Linked DNA regions of Drosophila melanogaster. The protein of the gene in region 2 interacts with the protein of the main gene of each other region in a biochemical or structural test. Each region holds a gene or a part of one and is shown on either strand. Other genes may lie near its edges.

Region 1 (9,747 bases), on a different chromosome or scaffold from region 2:
ATATTTAATTATAGATCCTCCTCGAGTCGTGGACCGATTTTTCGTTTGCGGTTCGGTTCGGTTGGGTTGGGTTCGTTTCAGTTCGGTTCGGTTCGGTTCGGTTTAGCCTAAAAGCCAGCGGAGGCACATGAGTTGGCCGGGCTGTTTCATGTGGTCATTACGTCATGATGCAGCTTTTGGCTTTGGAGTGGCACAGCCAAAATGCAGGCGGTATGTTTGCACATATAAAAGCGGGCGAGGAAGGCGGAAAATGGGGAAAAACTTGTAAGTCGGGGCAGACAAAAACCGCATATTTGTCGTGAGCATTTTGTTACAATTTCAATTTTGGCCTGGTCCATTGTCGGGGGTCGGTTTCTAGACTGCACTCTTTATATGCACTCGCGAATCTTGTAGTCTCACTTAGTTTTCTGGCCAGGCGTTGCCTTCGCCTTTTTGCAAGGGAGAGGCACACACAAATTAAAAAAAGCAACTTAACTTTTTGCTCACCTGCATTCTAAGTTGTATTACCAATTATTGTTATTCATATGCCTGTGAAGTATAGTAAGCTATTTTCGGGAATTCTTTATTTAAAAACTAGTTATTTTATTCCAATTAACATCGAAAGTTCTCTGGGCGCTTGACTGGCGGAAAAGTGAAAAGAATCATAAATGCGCCCGCTAATTGGAGTTCAATGCTTTCACCTGATGGCCAAGACGAGCACCGCCCACCTGGAGATCTATCTCTTGGGATCCCAGACATGTCCCACCGTTAAATATTCTGCTCGCCCAAGTAGCTGGTGGCCATAAATCTTCGCAGTTTGCCGGCTGTAAAAAGTGATTTACATACTCGAGGTATTTACCAAGTTCGGATCTCAAGCTAAGCGTTAACTCACTTTCGCTGTGTGAGAGTGAAGAAGCAGCAGATAAATTAAATTCAATTTTGCCTCGTCTGCATTTGGCAAACTTAAAAAAAGAAAAAGAAAGAAACGTACGGATACGGTCGCAAAAAAAGTAAACACACACATTTTGCTTTTTATTCACATTTAGCCTGGTTTCTTATTTATAGCATTTTGCATGCATATTTGATCAAAAACAATCAAATTTTATGAAGTATGAAAGTACGAGTAACAACATCTTTATATGTTTTGGGGAAAAACACAAATTGAAAGGAGGTTTATGTGCTTCTTCAAACATTTTATGCATTGCATAAAGATAATTTTTATGAAAGTCTTTTCGGGCAAGGAAGTGCCTAAATAAATTAGGGGACCATGTTGGCTGTAGTGCTATTAATGAGTTTTCTTCATTGTTTTTATCAGCGCGGTGAAAGGGTAATTAGTTGATGATCATTTGTACAAAACTGAAAAGATGCGCCACCTGGGCGCTGGACTATTAGCTATTGTATACCCTTGAAAAAATAATAATACAACAACAAGTCCCTCAACTTAGCCCTATGAAACATTTGACTAGCCTTTACCTTGATTACACCCATGACTATTTCATTTTAAAGACCATGCTCAATGACTTTGAACTAGATGCACCTTTCGTTCAACTTCACCTTTTTGGCCATCAATTTACACCTGGCAAACTTGAAACTTGAAGTCCGTCAGAAGACGAAAAGAAAAATTCATCATTGTCATCATCACTTGGCTGTTACGCATTGCTGGCCACGCCCCCTTGTCCCGCAGCCCATATTTGTAAATCAAGTGAAAGCTATACACATAATTTCCACTTGTCTGCTGCGTCTGGCTATATCTCTGCACTTGTTTTATTTTTAGCCGAAAAGTGTTGCACATTTTTCACATGATTGTGTTAATCAGCTTTGGCTTTGGCTTTCTTATAGAGCCTCCGTAATACATAAACTGTGCTAAAAATATTGCGAATTTTTTTTTTAGCATTTTGTGTTTGCCACTCTGCGCCCAGCATTCGACCGTTTTTACATAATGTAGAAAAACTCTTTCGTGGGAGAGGGCGTTGTTTTTGATGTCCACACAGCCATAACCGAAGTTTTTGTTTTTATGGCCAACTAATAACAGCCACATAGTTAGTGACTACCGGTGGGCGTTTGTTGCTCTCCGAAATTGGCCCAGTAAAATTGCCGGTCATCTCTTCTGAAAGGTGCTAAACGGCTGTGGTCATAAATTGCTATAATGTATACAAAACATGTGAATATTTTGTGGGCTTTCACTTGCCAAAAGTTGCGTGCGAAATTATCAGTGAAAAAGGGAGTCATATGTGGGCAGAGGGCCTACAGTTTCACCTGATCATGCGGGTTAGGTGTGAAGTTTTACGAAAATTGTGTAAAATACGGGCTTAAAAGCACTCAAAATGTGCTCTTGTTATTCTGTAAACTTTGAAAATATATGTAATTGGATGGGTAAACATACCATATTAAAGAGCCAAGTTTGTTTTTGGCACAGCTAATAATTTTGAAAATAATTTTTTATATATGATAATTGTATTCCATTTAATATAGGTTTTATATATTTTTGTTTCGCTTAATTCACTGTTAAAAATCCTAAGAGTGTAAACAAGATTGTGTAAGCGGAAAAAAGCTCGTAAGGCCCAACTCACTTGTTTCATTCTTTTTTAATAATATTTTCCTAAATATTTGTAAACCATAAAAAAGAAAGTCGTGTATTTAACCCTACAGCTATAAATTCGTTTGTTTCTTAGTGTGTGAAGAAAAACATTTTAATTGCCGTTTTAAAACATAAAATTTAGCACATATATATGTTTTTGTTAATAATTATTTTTTAATTTGCCACCCGCCGCAGACAGACAGCAATAATTAACTTTCCCGCGGGCCACCGGCAGCGTGTAAAATTCCCAATATGCATCATTTCCATTGCAGAAAGACAGGCAAAATAAAACAAAACGGCATGCAAAACTCGAAAGAAAATGAAGAAAAGAAAAACAAATCACATCACTGAATATAATTACCAAAGAGTAAGTGACTGCATGTCGTGGCGCCCAGAGAAAGAAAGAAACTGGCAAGAAAGAGAAGAATTGCTGAGAAAGGCGCACAGAAGAAAGACTTGAAGACTTGTAGACTCGGCAGCGAAGAGCCAGCTACAGTCTTTTCAAGCGCGGCTTGAGTCTTCGCCCTCTTTCTTTTGGGGCGTTCTAAATAATTTCTGTCACGCTTCGGCTTGCAGTGAAAATAAGAGTGAGTTTTGTTTTTTGTATTAGGTAAACCCTAATCCAAATGGAAAGCAAATCAGAAACGTAATTTATGCTAATTCGAAAGAAATTATTGCATAACTGCACTTCATTCCACTCATTGAGCGTATAATTGTCTTTTTTGACTTTTCAAATCGATTCGAATCGATTCCGACTGATTTTTCTCAACTGGGTGCAACGAACTCATTTTCTACGTATGCTCATTTATCGCGTGTCCGGATAATGAAGCTGCCAAACATCTGTCGCCGAGTTATTTAAGCAAAACCAATTAATTTCATTAATTAATATCAATTTGAGAGCGTACAAAAGAATTGTGCAAATAACGACGTAAGTGTACGCAGCAATATGGCTGGGAATTTATGTATTTATGTTTCTCTGCAGGACAATTCGTATCTGTTGTGATAAATCATATCCATATTCAAATATTTGCACTATTTTGTTGTGCAAATGGCAAGATTACTCGTTTCACTAAGTCGCCTGGCCATCGGAAATGGATAAAAAATAAATGTTTACCTGATTGATTGGCAGACTGACTGAGTGGCCAACTGATTGACTGAGAGTTTGCAGCTGCATGAAATTGTCAAAATGAGCGTAAAATTTATGCTCCAGCCAGCGGTAACCACAGAAAGTATCACACATATCTACATTTAAGCCATGTGTTTAATTAATGCCAGTAATTCATACATTTAATGTAATAATTTGTTCTGCAAATAAACGGGAAATGGGCCTCGCTTCGCGAAAATTAACGAGGGCTTTATAGGAAAAAAGGATATCTAGCAGGGACTCAATAAGTGGGAAAATGTTTAAATAAAATATAAAACATATGTATGTCGTTGATCCAATTTGCCATTAGCTTGAGCTAAGATCTCACAGTTATACGCAAATAGCTGTGAGCCATGACTTCACCACGTTTTGCCTTAATGAAAAGCAAATTCTCACACCCTTTTAAAAAGTCAACAAAAACGGTAAGAAATAGTTTCCCAAAAGCCAATTAGCCCATAACATGTGTAGTCGGTATATCATTAGTTTACATCTCGACGCACTCGTTGCAACAAATTTGGCCATACAAACGGAAAAAAGAGCGAATCTTTCACAATAGCGGACGCAGTGGCTCAGTTCTCTGGCCTAAACACCTTTTAATAGCCAAAATTGTTATGGGCGGCCGCAGAAACCGCCGGCCGTCGACCATCGACCATCGACTAATGAGCGGGCAGTCAAGTTGGGGGGCTCTTAACTTTTATCTGAGCTGACTTGGCCCGAACTGAGCCGAGTTGGGTTCTGTAAAAGGCCAGAACAAACACCGAAAAATGCAGGCCCACACAATGCAGTGGTAGGATGGTGGTAAGACACGGCTCTTTTGGCTACTTGAAATAGTTGAAGTGAGCTCGGCTTTTGTGGTTTTCCTCCTCTTCATCTGCCGCCCCGAGGTGCTACACCAAATGAATTATGAGAAGAATTGAAAATGAAAAACGCAATAAAAAATAGAAACAAGATTGTAGCTTTTAACTGGAGCAGAGATTGAAAAAACGACAGACGCAAGTGCACAGAGAAAAGTTTATGAAACATTTAAAATTAAATGTTGAAGTACAGTGTTTACAAAGCTTTAATACTTGCTTTTAATAAGTCTTCAAAATATAAGAAAACATTTTCAAAGTATAAATAATAAATACAAAAAAAATAAAAGGATAAATAATAGACCCCTTTTTGTATATATAAATTTTTGAAAATATTTTCAATTGATACAGTACTTGGAAGCTCATATCAGCATTCGTAACAATTTTTCATAGCTTAATTAAAAGTACTCAATCAATTTTTTAAAATAAAGTTCTTAAAGCTCGTCGATCTACATAAACCCATCTAAGTCGATGAGATTCATATTAAATTTAAGATCAAAAATATCTATTTCTTCTAGTGTAGCTGCAATTAATTTACTGGCTGGCACTACTTAAAGTCCGTCAAGAATGTTCGAACTGCTCTGGCCAGCAATTGGAGTTTTTATTTAATTTTATTTATCAAATACAACGACCCTGAAACACTATCACTTTTAGCCAGATGCGAAAAACGGAAAGTTAAGCGCTTTTTATGGAGAATCGAGAGCAGAGTATTTTTAATCTTTAGCGCTGCGGCAAACGCAATCTTCGATCTACCAACTCGATTTCGATTCTCTGGCCATTCAATGGCAATTATGACCGGTTTTCAATTTAACTGAAACTGGAACTCAATTGCATTTCCCCTTTGAAACGAACACCGTTCTCGAGTGAAAGAAATCTTTTCTCCGCCGCCTTTTTCTCGGCTGAAGACCACACTTACCGCTTGGGATACGGTATGCGCCGGTATTTGAAGGCATTTTCCACATCGCGCAGTTTCATTTTGTACGATCGCTCGGCGTTCAGAGACATCCAATGTCAATTACACAAAAAACACAATCGCTTGAGATCTTAGTTCTCGAAGACCTTTCTTGGCCGAAAGAATTTTCCGGTCGGCACTTGGGTTCACTTGAGTTCCGATTCACGATTCGAAGACTTAGAGATATAGACGTCCGTAGAGCTCGGCGATCGCGGCTTGACTGAATGTTCCTGGGGGCACTTGGCCGCCTTTTTGGCCAACTTTAAGACGTTGGCAGCGGCGGCTTACCACTGTTTGCTTTTACCATTTTCTTCGACTCTCTTTGGCTCTGTTTATTCGCTCTTTTGATCGCTCTTTGTTCGCTGGCTGACTGATTTCGTGGGGACGTGACTGTAGCCCATTTGTCTGTGGCAACATTTTTATTATTACCCCACATCTGACATTAATCTACTTAGACATATTTATTTAGGTCGTCCAAACAGCGAAGTGTCTTTATTCTCTGCGCAAGGAATCGAATTTCGGGCACTTGTTTCAATATCCTTTATTGGATCAGCTGGTTTACCGACCTTAATGGTAATTTGTTCGGTTGAATAGAACATATTGCGTGTGATCCAAACCACGTTGGCAAAAATAAGAACTTTAGTTTTTTCTATTTCTTCATAGAGGAAGGGAGAATTAGAATTAAAAACAGGTTTACCTTTGAACCCATCCCCCCCAATGGACAGTCGAAAAGTTGACCTTCCCGCTTTTGTAATTTCCATCGATTAGTTTTGGCCATTCGTACATATATAAGCGATTCTTCTCGATGTCTGTCTTCTCGCCTCGTTCGTTAGCCAAACTTCGGGATCTAAGCTTAATTTTTGCCAAACTCAAATCTATAGTTTCTACAAGAGTTGGATTCCGCGATCTCCCCACTTGCTGTCCACAAAGCTAAGCTCATTGACCCTTATTCAACAGTTGACTCTTATGGCACAGTGCCTCAAAGAAATCTTTTTTCCGATTAAATTAGAACATTTAAAAATTAAATTGAGGTACGAATTTTTAATTTACGAGAATTAATACTAGATTTCAATATATTTATACCTTTACTCTTTTATTTAAGTGTGTCTTATCATATATTACTTTAAATTATCTTTTTCAGGTACCTTAACTTTTAACTCTCACTGTAACTGACTTGTCCACTAACTGGCGTCAGACGGCTGTCGAATTTAAGCGTTTACCCATAACTATCTGCATAGGTCCACATTTTTAGGACCGACAAAAAACTGATTGTTTAGTCTTATTAAACTTTTTTTATTTCAGCAACAAGTTGAAAATTCGTGTAAATTTCTCGATAACAATTGCAAAAAAATGGAAAAACGCCAGCCTCAACATAAAAACAGCCAAAACATAAAAGTAAAATTAAAACGAAATGCGTTGGCGGCACATGTCTTGTGTTTATCTGGTAATAATTAAAGGTATTTCAGCATTTGGTACCAAGAAAGTGAGTAGCTAAAAACTTGTAAAGTTGCTGCCTATTGCATTGATGACTGTCCAAATCGACTGAGATAATTGAGCTATCTGAATGATCAGACTCTTTCTCCGATTTCGAAACTTAAAAGCCGACGAGTTGTTAGGCTGTCGGTTTTCGGGTTAAGTTTATCAGCTGTCCAATTGTGGTCGCTCACAATATGTTGGCTATATCTTCGGTCCGATGCCATGGTTTTTTGCTGCCAACTGTCCCTTTGTGGCTGTGCCGATTGCGCTGAGCTGGCCAACTCGATTGTAAACAACTGCAATTGGCCCTAGGTGCAAACACAAATAGCTGATTGTGTGAGTTTGTGGCAGGTGTGCGTATATATTATATTTGGCCAATACTCGGCAGTGTATTTTATGCAGCGAGGTTTTCCATGTTAATTGGTTGGCATGTTTAATACATCCGCTTAAATATATAAAAGAAATTTAAAATCGTATTCGGTAAATAAATTTATTATTTACACAAATTCTAAATTAATATATTATATGTATATGTTATATGTAAGTGCGTACGATAAATAAATAATTTCATCAATTTGCATTAATCTAGAGTGAATACTTTTAGTAGATATATGTATTATATGTATATTAATGACCACGGCATAAAAAGAACTGCAAAATTATTAACTTTAATAGCCAGATATTTAAATGTGTTAATAATAAATAAAAGCAACAAACATACTAGTGATTAGTTTGATAAGCTGTAATACAATAATAACAAAATACATTCAAGGTAGATCCCTCCATTAAATTTGATTATGCTTTGTTATTCAATTTTTTGAGTATCTACCTTGATATTCAAACTTACTGCAAAAACTGCTTTACCACGCCTCGTTAGCGATTTCCGGTCCTTTTGTCGCCCACGCCCATCAAAGCCATTTTGGCCAAGTCCACGGGCCAGAGTTGCCAGGTCCAGAAACAGAGCTGCCGGCCATAAACACGGAGTCAGAGAACTGGGCAATCCGAGGGAGGAGGCGAAATCTGTGGGATATAGAGCACACACCACACGAGCACCAGGCCGGTGGCTTATGTTTTATGCGGGCTCAGCGTGGGCGAGGCGGGGGACATGGAAAGCCCATAGCCACAACCCGATCCCACGGCCAATCCGAGTTCCGACCGGTGAGAACACACGCCTGGAGCTACCGGCTTGGCTTGGCTTTAACAGCATCTCGTTCGATGTTCCGAATTTTCGAGGATGTCCACCGATTGCTGCCCGGATGCGGGCAATCAAAATCTGTGGCCTACTTGACTGCCAGCTATTTGGACACGATTTGAGTTCGCCTTAGTTTGGCCAACGGTTTTCCCCCGAGCGTCAAACGGAACAGTTGGCATTCCACCCACTAAACACCCCATCTATTCCACCCGAAAATCAAACGCCCAACCACCCACTTTTGCAATTTTGGCTAATAGAGAAAGGTGCTCTGTGTTCAGTTTAATTTTTTCATCGGTTTTATTTTGCTTAAAGTTCCTTTTGGTTTTAATTGTCTTGGTTTTAAATACTCGTTTCATCTATTTGATTCAGTGCGTCATTAACTTAAGGTTTCCTTTTCATATACGTATAATATCTCTATATAAATATTTGGTTTAGTTTTATTTATCATACAAGTGAAACTTACTCTATCGAACGGTGAAAGGAAATGAAAATCGGGTGAATTCCGAAATGGAACTTAAGACATGATCTCCTTTCTCAAATTCCATCTCATTGCGTCACTTTTTTCAGTTTTATCAGTTTTTTTTTCGGTTTTTAATTAAATATGCGTAGACTGTACGCAGTTTGACTATTTACACAGCTGTCTGTATTATATTGTTATTTACCATCGCGCAGCGTTTTCTTCTCGTTTCGTCTACTTTATTTTTGAACATTTCAAATAAATTATATGCAATGTTTCGTGTGCGGTCATAATTCAATTTCTCCATCCGCCGGCCCCCCCTCTTTTATCTCGTATTTTATCTTTGAATTCTACTTTAAACACAGTTGGCACAGAAATTTCCATAGTTTGGTTTGGTTGAGAGAAGGAACTGAACCGAACTGATGATTGAGATGTGAGTTTGTGTGAGTGACAATGGTGGCCAACAAAGTAGTTACAGCATTTTTAGCCGGGCTTAAAGCTAACTATTCAAATGCCCTGCCGGCCGTGTTTTCGATTTTTAGTTTTGTCCTCAATTGGCGGCAGTAAAAATGCATTTTCGGCCTATGCGCCCTTTTTAATTAATTTAATTTCTTTTCGCTCTCGTATATGTTTCGGTATTATTTTATCTCTTATTCGAATGTGTGTAAAATATCATATATGTATGTGTATGCTATGCTGTGTGTCTGGAAATAATATAAACTGCTCGTTTTTTATTAAATTGTACAAAGTGCGTTTTGGTAATTTTTCTTTCTTTCTTTTTTAGCTATAAATATTTAGGTTATTTGCTATCAAAAAATGCCAACCGAAAATATTTGATTTAATTTATGTATATATTTTCATTTACTTTTTATGCTGGCTAAATCATATATTTTTTATACACACGCTTTTCGGCAAAGTTTCATTGCAGTTGAAATTTTAATGGGTTTTTATGGATGTGGACTCTGCCGGCGTGGCAGAGGTTCTTAAATTTTTAAAATTCCCACTGCAGCCAGTATTTGCTTTGCTTTCAGTATTCAGTTTCATAATTTTTGCCCTAGTTCAGTGTCTATAAAATAAAGTACTTATGTCCTTTTCCGCTTCTTCTTGGTGTTGTTTGC
Region 2 (9,747 bases):
TATAGTTATAATAGTTTTTTGTGCAATAATGACTTACTTTATAGTATGCCTAAAAATAATTTTCGCATTCCTTTGATTGTCATGTGTGTGTGCCACGTTTTTCGAATATGACCGTAAGTGGTTTTTCTAATTTTATGCCTGTTACAAAGTCAATGCAAAACAATAGCGTATTCTGAGTAGACACACTTTGTTAGCATGATAAATGACATGTTTTGTAACTTTTTATTTTTGCAAATGGGGAATGAACCAAGTTCATGCTCAAACAGTAAATCGAAAAGCGACTGCCAAAGAAGAATATTTATGTGAACAATGTCACAGTTCGCAAATGGGATTTGTATATATGTAAGCTAATGACTCTCTAATTTTAATGATCAAAAAATGCAATTACGTGTAGAGAGAACTGAAAAAAAAAAAACATATGCATAAATCGATTTATAATAAAAAACAATTTTGCTATACACAAAACAGTGAAAGAGACTATAATATTTATTTGTAGCGATTCCATCGAAAGTGAAATTTTCAATACCTGTTATATCACAAAAGCGAAGAACAGGTATTATGTTTTCCCAGTCTTATAGTGTTGCTCAAATGCATACATACATATATCATCAATGAATTCTAACGTTATCCTTCCTGGAGTTTTTTTAGCAGCTTTGTTCCTCATCAGCAGTGTAAGTGTGAGAAAAATTTAAATTTTGAAAGTGAAACTAAATAATATATTTTCAGGAAGCACCCAATATTAAGCTGACAAATGTAGTTTGTGAATCAATAAACAAATCCTGGGCTGTTTTTCATTATTGCCGGCTAAAGGCTTACTCGCGTAACAAGACCAGCTTGAACATAAATGCAACATTTCTGCATCCAACGAATAATGTATCCCTCAGATTAAAGATGGTGAAAAGATTAAGTGGCTATAAGCCATTTCTCTTCGATGTCACAATCGACGCCTGCCAATTTCTGCGAAAACGACATAATCCCGTCATAAAAATGTTTTATAGCTTTATAAAGGATTATTCTACACTAAATCATACATGTCCTTATGTGGTAAGTTAGGTTACGCCATATTGGCCATCAGCAAATTTAATAACTTTAATCATTTTTTTAGGGCTTGCAAGTGGTTAGCGATTATCACACCGCTGTATTTCCAGTACCATTACCTTCAGGAGACTATGGAGTGTTACTAGATTTCATCTTCTATGCTAAGAAGCAGTTTCACGTGAATATTTATTTTAACTTTGTGGAGGATTTTTGACCACCCGTTTCTATGAACATTATAGTTCTTAATTGAACTTATTGAAGCTAATAAACAGTTTAAGAAAAACATAATTATTTGATTAAGATATCTTGAAAATATAATTATTTAATAGATTTCGCTAGTTCGCTCATACATAGCTACCAGCTTTTGCAAATATGACCCTCAACGAAAACACAATTTCAATTTATTACCTATATTATTAGTTAACCGCACTTGCATCATTAAGTCATATTTGCCCAAGCTTTTGGAAACGTTTTTCTTAATATACAACTTCATTAGTATCTGCTTACATTTGAAGCTATTTTTTGTGCTTCAACACTAATATATACCTTCGGTTTTAGACAGTTTATTTATCATTTAAGGGTATTCTAAAACAGAGCAGATATGTAGCAGATATATTCGAATGAACGCAAAACTAGCACCGTAATGATTGTTGCATATCAAATCAATTTTGTATAATTAAAAAATACATCAGATATCGTGCTACCATCACTGAAATTGAATTTTAATAACCTCTTCAGTACAAGACAACCCACAATATATCACTCAGATCAAATCAGAAGACAGCAAAATTAATCAATGAAACAAATCGATTATTTCAAAGACAGCCATTTCTGGGTTAAAACATAAAGTTTGCAATAGGTAACTTTTTGTATCTGATTTCAATGTTTTTTAAGCATTACTATATTAAGTTTCTATTTTAAATGGTATACCTAAACACGCTGAATCGTTTTGTGCTGACTAATATATCAATTTTGTGTAATTAAAGAGGTAAACATATTTATGAAAAGTATATCTTAATTATGTGTTGAACTACCATCACCTAGTTCATAGTTTATATTACAGTCTTAAATTGATTTTTGTGTTTGTCGGACATGCTGGCCAATGTGATAATTCTGGGAGTTTTTGTGGCTGTCGTTTTTTTGGTTTACAGCGTAAGATTGCCCGATATTGTTTTTAATAAAATGTAGAAAGTATATTTACTTCTTTAGGATTCGGCTATGGTTAAAATGACAAATGTTGTTTGTGAATCATATGATAAATCGTTGACCGTTTTTCATTACTGTCGATTGAAGGCCTATTCCAGGACCAAGACTAGTTTGCACATAAATGCAACCTTTTTGCATCCAATCAATAGCATATCTGTCAGATTTCAGATGCTGAAGAGGGCCAATGGTTACAAGCCTTTTCTTTTCGATATCACCGTCGATGCCTGCCAATTTTTGCGAAAACCAAATAATCCCGTCATTAAAATAGTTTATAATATGATAAAGGATGCATCCAACATCAACCATTCTTGCCCGTATGTGGTAAGGTTTTTAATCAAAATAATATACAATTATATATCCTTTTTTGGTCGATTTGCAGGGTACGGTGGTACTTAACGATTTTCATCGCATTTCACTACCCCTTCCATTTCCCTCTGGAGATTATTTATCACGCCTAGACTTTCTAATTAATGGTAAAACGAAGTTCTATGTAAATGTAAATATGCATGTACCAGAGGACTTATAAATTGAAGGCTTATTTGTGTTTAACTGACTTGTTAACTGGCAATGAGGAGTGGAAATAAAATAGTTTGATTTAATTACTACAAGGCATTTCAACATAAAAAACTGTCTTTATTTGGATGATAGACTTATAATTCGTATAAATTGTACATTCACATGTTTCTGTCGAGATCCGACATTTATAAATATCATAAAGTATTCATAATTTTGTTTAAAGATCTAACAAGTTCACAGTTCCTCCTTTTCCGGCGCTGTCTTGGTGACCTTGTGAACCCTGAAGACTTCCAGGATGTTCAGTTTCCTCAGCAGCTCCTCCTTCTTGGCCTCGGTGACCTTGCCGGCCTTGAGGCGCAGGAGTCGCTTGGTCTCCTCCTCCAGGAAATCGTAGCCCACCTCGTGGATCTTCCGCATGTAGATCAGATAGGCCCTGGCGTTCTGCTGCTGCTCGGGATCGGTCAGCTGCTCCTGCTTGGCCTGCAGCTTTTCGATAAGCTTCAGTTGCTCTGCATCGGGGATATTGGCATAGTTCTTGAGCACTTCGTTGAACTCTTTGATGCAGCCATCACGACCGATGTACAGAGGTGTGTTGGCACTGACAAAAGCCTTCAGATTGTCCAGCGTTACGTCGACGTGGCTAGGAAGCTGGACGTACTCATCAGCGTTGCCCTTGAACAGGAAGATACTCGGGAAGTTCTTGTCGTCGACTTTGTAACGGTCGCCCAGGGCCTGCAAATTGGGATTAAAAAGTTGAAATAATAAATAAATCAAATTTAAAGTGCTTTTAAATAATTTAAATAGCACAGAGTCTTTAGAAGGGCATCCAAGCTTTAGGCTGCAATCCAGGATTCCAAATGAACAGAGCAGAAACCACATTTTTTCCAATCATTACCACATATCTAAATCCTAGGTAATCCATAAAATAAAACTCACCTTGTTCTCCAGTTCTCCATAGTCCTTGACACCCACGGTGGCTATTAGCAGATCTTTAGTTGCCTTGTGGGCAGATTTGGAGAAGGCGGTAAAGGCCTCATGCTTTTCCCCATACGGATATGCGATATCAAATTTCACTACGGAGTAGGGAAATCGTTCCACCGTCTTCTCGAAACTCAGCTCATCCAGATCCACGCAGCCCGTGCAGGTGACGGCCCAGGTGGTGGGTATCGAGTGGATAGCGACCAGGAGCAGAGTCACCAAAATATGCATCATCTTCGTGGCAAAAACCAGAGACTTCTGAACTTGACCCTACTCTTGCCGTTTGTCAGCGCAAACTGGCTAAAAACGAGCGCGAGAAGAGCGGTAAAGTTGTATTCGAGTTCGAGTTTTGGGCCAGTTTACGCTTCGCTCAGCTGAAATTGTTTGGCTGCTTTGGCCAACTCACTCAGTTCTGGACTCTCTGGTAGTCTGAAATGCTCTGAAGTTCTCGTCTCCACAATTTCTCGATCGAGTTGAATGACACGTCAGTGAATAGAAGCGGCTCTCTCACTCAAAACCGGCTATTTCGTTGACCAACTCTTGTTGTTAGTTCAGCTGTTTTGGCTGTGGGTCTATTGTAACACTTGTAGGGAGATTTATTATATAATGCCTGGTACTTAATGCGTGTGCCTCGTTTTTGACTGTCGCTTTTAAACGTAGAAATAATTGTCATCCCAATAGCTGGGGAATGAACATTGATGCCAAGCTGATAGAAAATATATTTCGGCCAAAAACGATCAGTTGGCCAATAGAGCGTGCCACATTAAACCAGAGCAATTAGCCATGTTCACAAAACTGACAGTGCAAGCGAAGTCCACAGGAAGTGGTAATTTGCAACTGTACATGAGTGTTTTCGGGTCTTTCGAATTGTGGATACCCTTTAAAGGTATATATATGAAATTCAACTCCTTTCAATCACAAGATTTCTTATTTATACGTTTTAGTAACTTAACTTTACAAATGAACTATGCATTAAAGTATCTCTACATACAATGAATTGACATAGTAGCCGATCGACTCTTTAGAAGTTTGCTAAGGAAAATGGAAACACCTGCCAGTGGACGGAAAAACGGGGTTAGTTTGCCATAATTTTCATTAGCCTGGAATTGAAATTTTCCCGGCACCCGATCCCACCCCCAATTCCGTGCTCCTTCCCTTTTGTCCCGGTTAATGGACATTTTCGGCAATTGTCAATTAATAATTCATGTATGCGGCACACATGTTGGTCACCTCAAACCCAAAAGACCGCCGATGGCCAAATGCCCCGCCCCCCGCCCCCTTTGGCGGCTAAAATAGTTGGTTTAGTTTTTCCATTTGCGGTTTCGTTTGTCCACTCTACGGAAAATTGAACATCACGGCACGCAATTCGGGAAGGAGGTACGGAAAAGCGTTGCGAGCTTCACACGATCGATATGGCCGACCGGTAAATTATCTTTTCTGATGGATGGGCGTGTGTCTTTTGTGTGTGTGTGTGTGGGGGGGGGGGGGTGGTAAATGGGTGGTTGGGCGTTCGATTGGTGCGTCAGGTGCAAGGAAAATCCAAACGGCAATGCGCAATTTCCAATGGAATTAACTGGCGATGTAGGGTAAGGAGGAGGTAATGCCTGATGGAGATCCAGTAATGGGGCCTGACATGCGTGTGTCAATCGCACAAAGGCCCAAAATTACCGGATTGGATGGATGGTTGGGAGGTGCTCCATTTGTAATGCTGACCTCTTTGCTGGCCGCGCAAAAAAAAATGGAGTCCAAGTTCGGTGTGTTTTCGGTTCATGGCGCACTTGTGTTTACATTCCATTTATTATGCAACAAAGGACAAGCAATTTGCTAAGTACACCCCAGTCGAAAGGCCTTCAAAACAACATGGAAAACATAGCATTCAATTAGTTGCCGTGACGGGCATTTTATATTGAAAACTTTGCCACTGGACGCCAAGTAAATCCTTCTTCGGTTTTAAAAATAAAAATCTAGATTATATTTAGCCAAATTATGGGAATTACCCGGCGAAGAACCTTCAAGAGTCCTCCAACTAAGGATATCCCATATGCGGCATAAATAATATAAATGGTGGTACTTTTGCGTTAGTTTAAGTGCAGCGGCACTAATAACACAATGACCTTTACGCGAAACGACCCCCCTTTGGCCCACCCGGGGGGCTTTTGGTGCTGAGGGGGTTGCCCTGACCAATCGACATTATAGTGATAAGCGCGCAAATTTCAGGACCTGGAATGGCTGCAATCTTGGTGCGGAAATCAAACGATTGCGGCATTGTTTTTTATAGACCACATCTATTGGGTTTTGGAGCGACGGCGAATAGACAAAGCTAATCGCCTACAGCAGGGCAGGTGCTCCATTTGGATACCGTGTAGTGGGATCTGTCAGGGGTATATTTGGCCTTGTGATCATGTGATAGTAATTACAGCAATTATTGTATTGTATCTTATGATACATTTTTTTAACACATCATATTGTATATGTATCTTACTTATTAAATATATGTTTTTAATAGGATTGAATATTTAACAATTATCAGAACTCTTTAAAAAAAGTTTTTAAAATATTATAAACTTTTTCCCTTTCAGATTTAAGTGTGCGAGTTATTGCCGACACTCATTTGCCGCAGGGTATCTATTAACAATCCTGCTTTCAGGACAACCTTTATTTTTTTGGCAGCCCCACAGTCTAATTATGTGGCAGTACATTGAAGGCGGGCCATGAATTTTTCATGGCCCACGTATGCCAAGACATGCAATGTTGGAGCCAACTGGCCAACTGACAATTTGGATAGAAAATAGATGGAGTTTGGTCTGCGGAGGGGATGGGGCTGCGAGTTCCCAACTTGCGTAAGAACCCACGCGATTTCGAATCATGGAAATTCCCCGGTCTCGTTTATTGTAAACTTTTCATTGGGATCCAGGCACTTGTGAAGTTGAAGCTCATCAAATTTTTATGCCATGGCATAATTCCATAAATGGGCCATGGAATGACCCACCTGAAAAAAAGGCCATATGTTCCACCCCACAAAACGAAAACATGGGAATAATAACTTCGACAATAATTCGCATGCCCAAATCGAAACTGCCAAAGTCGAATGCCCGGTTAAATGGTCAATAGGCTGTGCTCATCATAATTGGTATTTATTGAAAATGCCTTTTGGTTAACCCACACATCGGGTGTTCATAACCATAACCCTTGCTTTCGAATGAGAGAGAGAGAGAGAGAGGGTTAAGGGTTATGGGTTAAGGGTGGACAGACGTAGGCCTGGTTATCGTGTTTATAGCTTTTCATTTGCATTTATTGCCATTTCGATACGTGTGGCTATCAGGCCTGGCAATTTGAGGCGTTTAGCGCAAATTTCTTTTCAATATTTGTGCACCCAATAAACCGAAATGGTCAGTTAGCCGGTGGCTTTTATTCGCTGCGGTCTTCCAATTTGATTGCAAATTTCTTTTTTCGACTTTTATGCCAACTGCGTGCTGAGAATTTGAGAGCAAATCGTTAGTGGCTGAAAAGCGCTTAGATGGTCAATGATTTTGGTATGAGTTGGCCTCGCTAATTAATCACTCGAGTGCATTATTATGTGTTCTGCGCTAATTACGCTTTTTCAATATTTATCCAAGAAACCGCGGTCAAAATCAAATAAATTCGTTTGCCTTCATTCAACATATTCCAGTGACAATGGGCCTAATGGTAATTTCTTGAGCGATTGACTATTGGTTGGTTTGCCTTATCGTGGGGAAAATTCCATTAGCACACGGCCTATTAATTAGCCAAAAATGAATGTGTCTTAAGTGGTGTGAGTTGGTTGTATTGGTCATTTAGGTGCTTCGAGTTGGGGGATTTAATTGGGTCGCCAAGGAGAAACTGTACTTTTTTTCTTGGCTAATAACTATCCACTTTTCATTTCCATTTTAATATGATATTATGCTATGGTCATCAGTGGACTAATATTTCATTTGAGATAAATGTATCGCTTTTCAACATTTTGTTAGCTTGACCAGCTGGCTTCCGTTTTCTTTTAAACCTAAGGATCATTCTGGTATTGCTCTAGTGCATCCAATCGCTGACCATTTCCCTCAGGATTTTCCTCAGGGGAAACTCATGTATAACAGTTGTGGCGGGAAATTTGAATGGCGCATGCGTGGTTCCCGCTCCGAGCGAAAGGACTTCCAATGCGATGCCACATTGCACCCACTCTATCCGGGGTTAGGGCATTTGTTTACAAACAAATGCATAACAGCCAAAGGTAAAAGGGGTAAACTGCACTTACACAAAGCGACCGCCCATGCGAATATTCCCAATAATCAACCTCAACTTGTTGCTTGACCATTTTCCGCGCTGGGAGGCAATTACTTAACCGAGTGGTTGGGCTATGGGTGGTCGGGAGCCGAGGACACGAGCAGACAGACATGCAAATTGCAGTTTCATGTGGCAGAATTGGATTGCCACCGCCTTTTGGGGGCTGCACCGTCGCACAATTCGCATGACATTTCCTAACATTCTTTTTCGCTTTGCAGGATAACGCCCCACTGGACTTTTGTTTTATAACATTTGAGCATTCGGAACGCAAATGGTCATCAAATCTAATTGGCGACGTCGCGTCGCAAATACCTGAAATTGCAGGGCATGCAGTTGATTTTTTGCACTGATTTCGATGCGGATGTCAGCTGGGGATTATTACGGTACGGATCGATGCATCGGAGGGTTAATGCGCTGGCCGTACTCAGATATTCCATTACTTTGTACCTGCGGCGAAGAACAACAAAAACTAAAAGCAGCGGGCCAAAGTTGATGCAATAATTTGCCACAAGTTTTCCGAGTGACCACAACAACATGCAATATGCAGTGGGCTCGTCAAAACTACACTTCAAACAAAACTCTACTAAGACATTTCCAAGAAGTAATTCGCTACATGTAACAAATTCCAAAGGAATATCGTTTTTTTTTCGTGTGTAGAAAAAGCCGCGAACGTTGAACGAAATTTTCGCAAGAGGATTTTCAAACGGCGCGATGTAAAAAATGCATGAGCCGACTAAGCCCAATGCGGTTATCGTGTCCTTTGGGGTGGATATATGTTTGTAACAGGGACATAGACATGCAGGTGCAAATTCCTGGCAACCCCAGGTGAACTGACTGACGGACGGATTGACCGCATGATTTTCAGCATGTGAACGCCTTTCGGTTGGCATTTTATCGGCGGAGCGCGTTTTATATCTAAACTATGAATCAATGCATTAGTCAGTCACCTTGTACGCTCTACTTTAATTACGGCTTTTTACGCTGCACCTGAAGTCCCCCAAACGTCCTTTTCCAAAACTCTGCCTTCGACACGATTTCTTTTCTATTTCAACAGCGAGCTGACATTTTTTTGCATGTTGTTGTGGCTGCGAATTAAAAATTGCATACAAAAAATGGCAGCAAAAAACTAGTCGATCTTTACTCGACTTTGGAATACCAACTAATCGGTTTTCACTATATTTGCTTGATCAAAATAAAGCAAGTTAGTTATTTATATATATTTATAATATATAGATCATTTCCAATGCAAATGTGAGAAAAACGATTATAATATTGGTAATTTTTAATGTAGTGATTGCTTTGATCCTTTTGAATTATTTTAATAAGAATCGCAAAACTTGCTTTCAAGTTAATTAATTCAAAACTTCAAATCGCTAGCAGTAAACTTACTTCAATAATTAAAGAAATTCGATATTGTTTTAACATACCCCTGTCCTTTAGAAACACAGGGTGCAAATAGCGAAATGAAATTCCTGGCACAGAACGTAATATTATTAGCGGGGAAGCCTTGTCGACCGCCTCCACTTGACTGCGAGCAACTCGGGGCCATAAATATTGCATTACAATCGCTTTACCCCCTTTTTTTTGGGTTGGCGAGTTGTCGTGCAGTCGGTGGTTCCACCTCCACGTGGTGGGTGGTGACCCCTCCAACCCCATCCCGTCGGGATATGCAATTGCGAATTGGATTTCATGTTAATGCAGGGTCCTTATCGC

What was found.
Region 1: the proteins of wbl (region 2) and pip interact in far-western blotting, tested with the Drosophila melanogaster proteins (one study listed by BioGRID).

The regions. Positions count from the first base shown.
Region 1 is NT_037436.4:19,331,874-19,341,620, forward strand, and holds the start of pip (pipe), read right to left. Parts: upstream 5,737-9,747; 5' UTR 5,558-5,736; coding exon 5,469-5,557; intron 1-5,468. UniProt on the Drosophila melanogaster protein: Sulfotransferase involved in dorsoventral axis patterning in early embryos.
Region 2 is NT_033778.4:19,244,050-19,253,796, reverse strand, and holds wbl (windbeutel), read right to left. Parts: upstream 4,403-9,747; 5' UTR 3,973-4,402; coding exon 3,697-3,972; intron 3,493-3,696; coding exon 2,995-3,492; 3' UTR 2,880-2,994; downstream 1-2,879. Other genes in the region: CG33453 (uncharacterized protein), read left to right, coding at 612-677, 727-1,041, 1,106-1,252; CG33454 (uncharacterized protein), read left to right, coding at 2,131-2,190, 2,248-2,562, 2,624-2,770. UniProt on the Drosophila melanogaster protein: Probable chaperone protein involved in dorsoventral axis patterning in early embryos. Probably acts by folding and targeting pipe (pip) into the Golgi.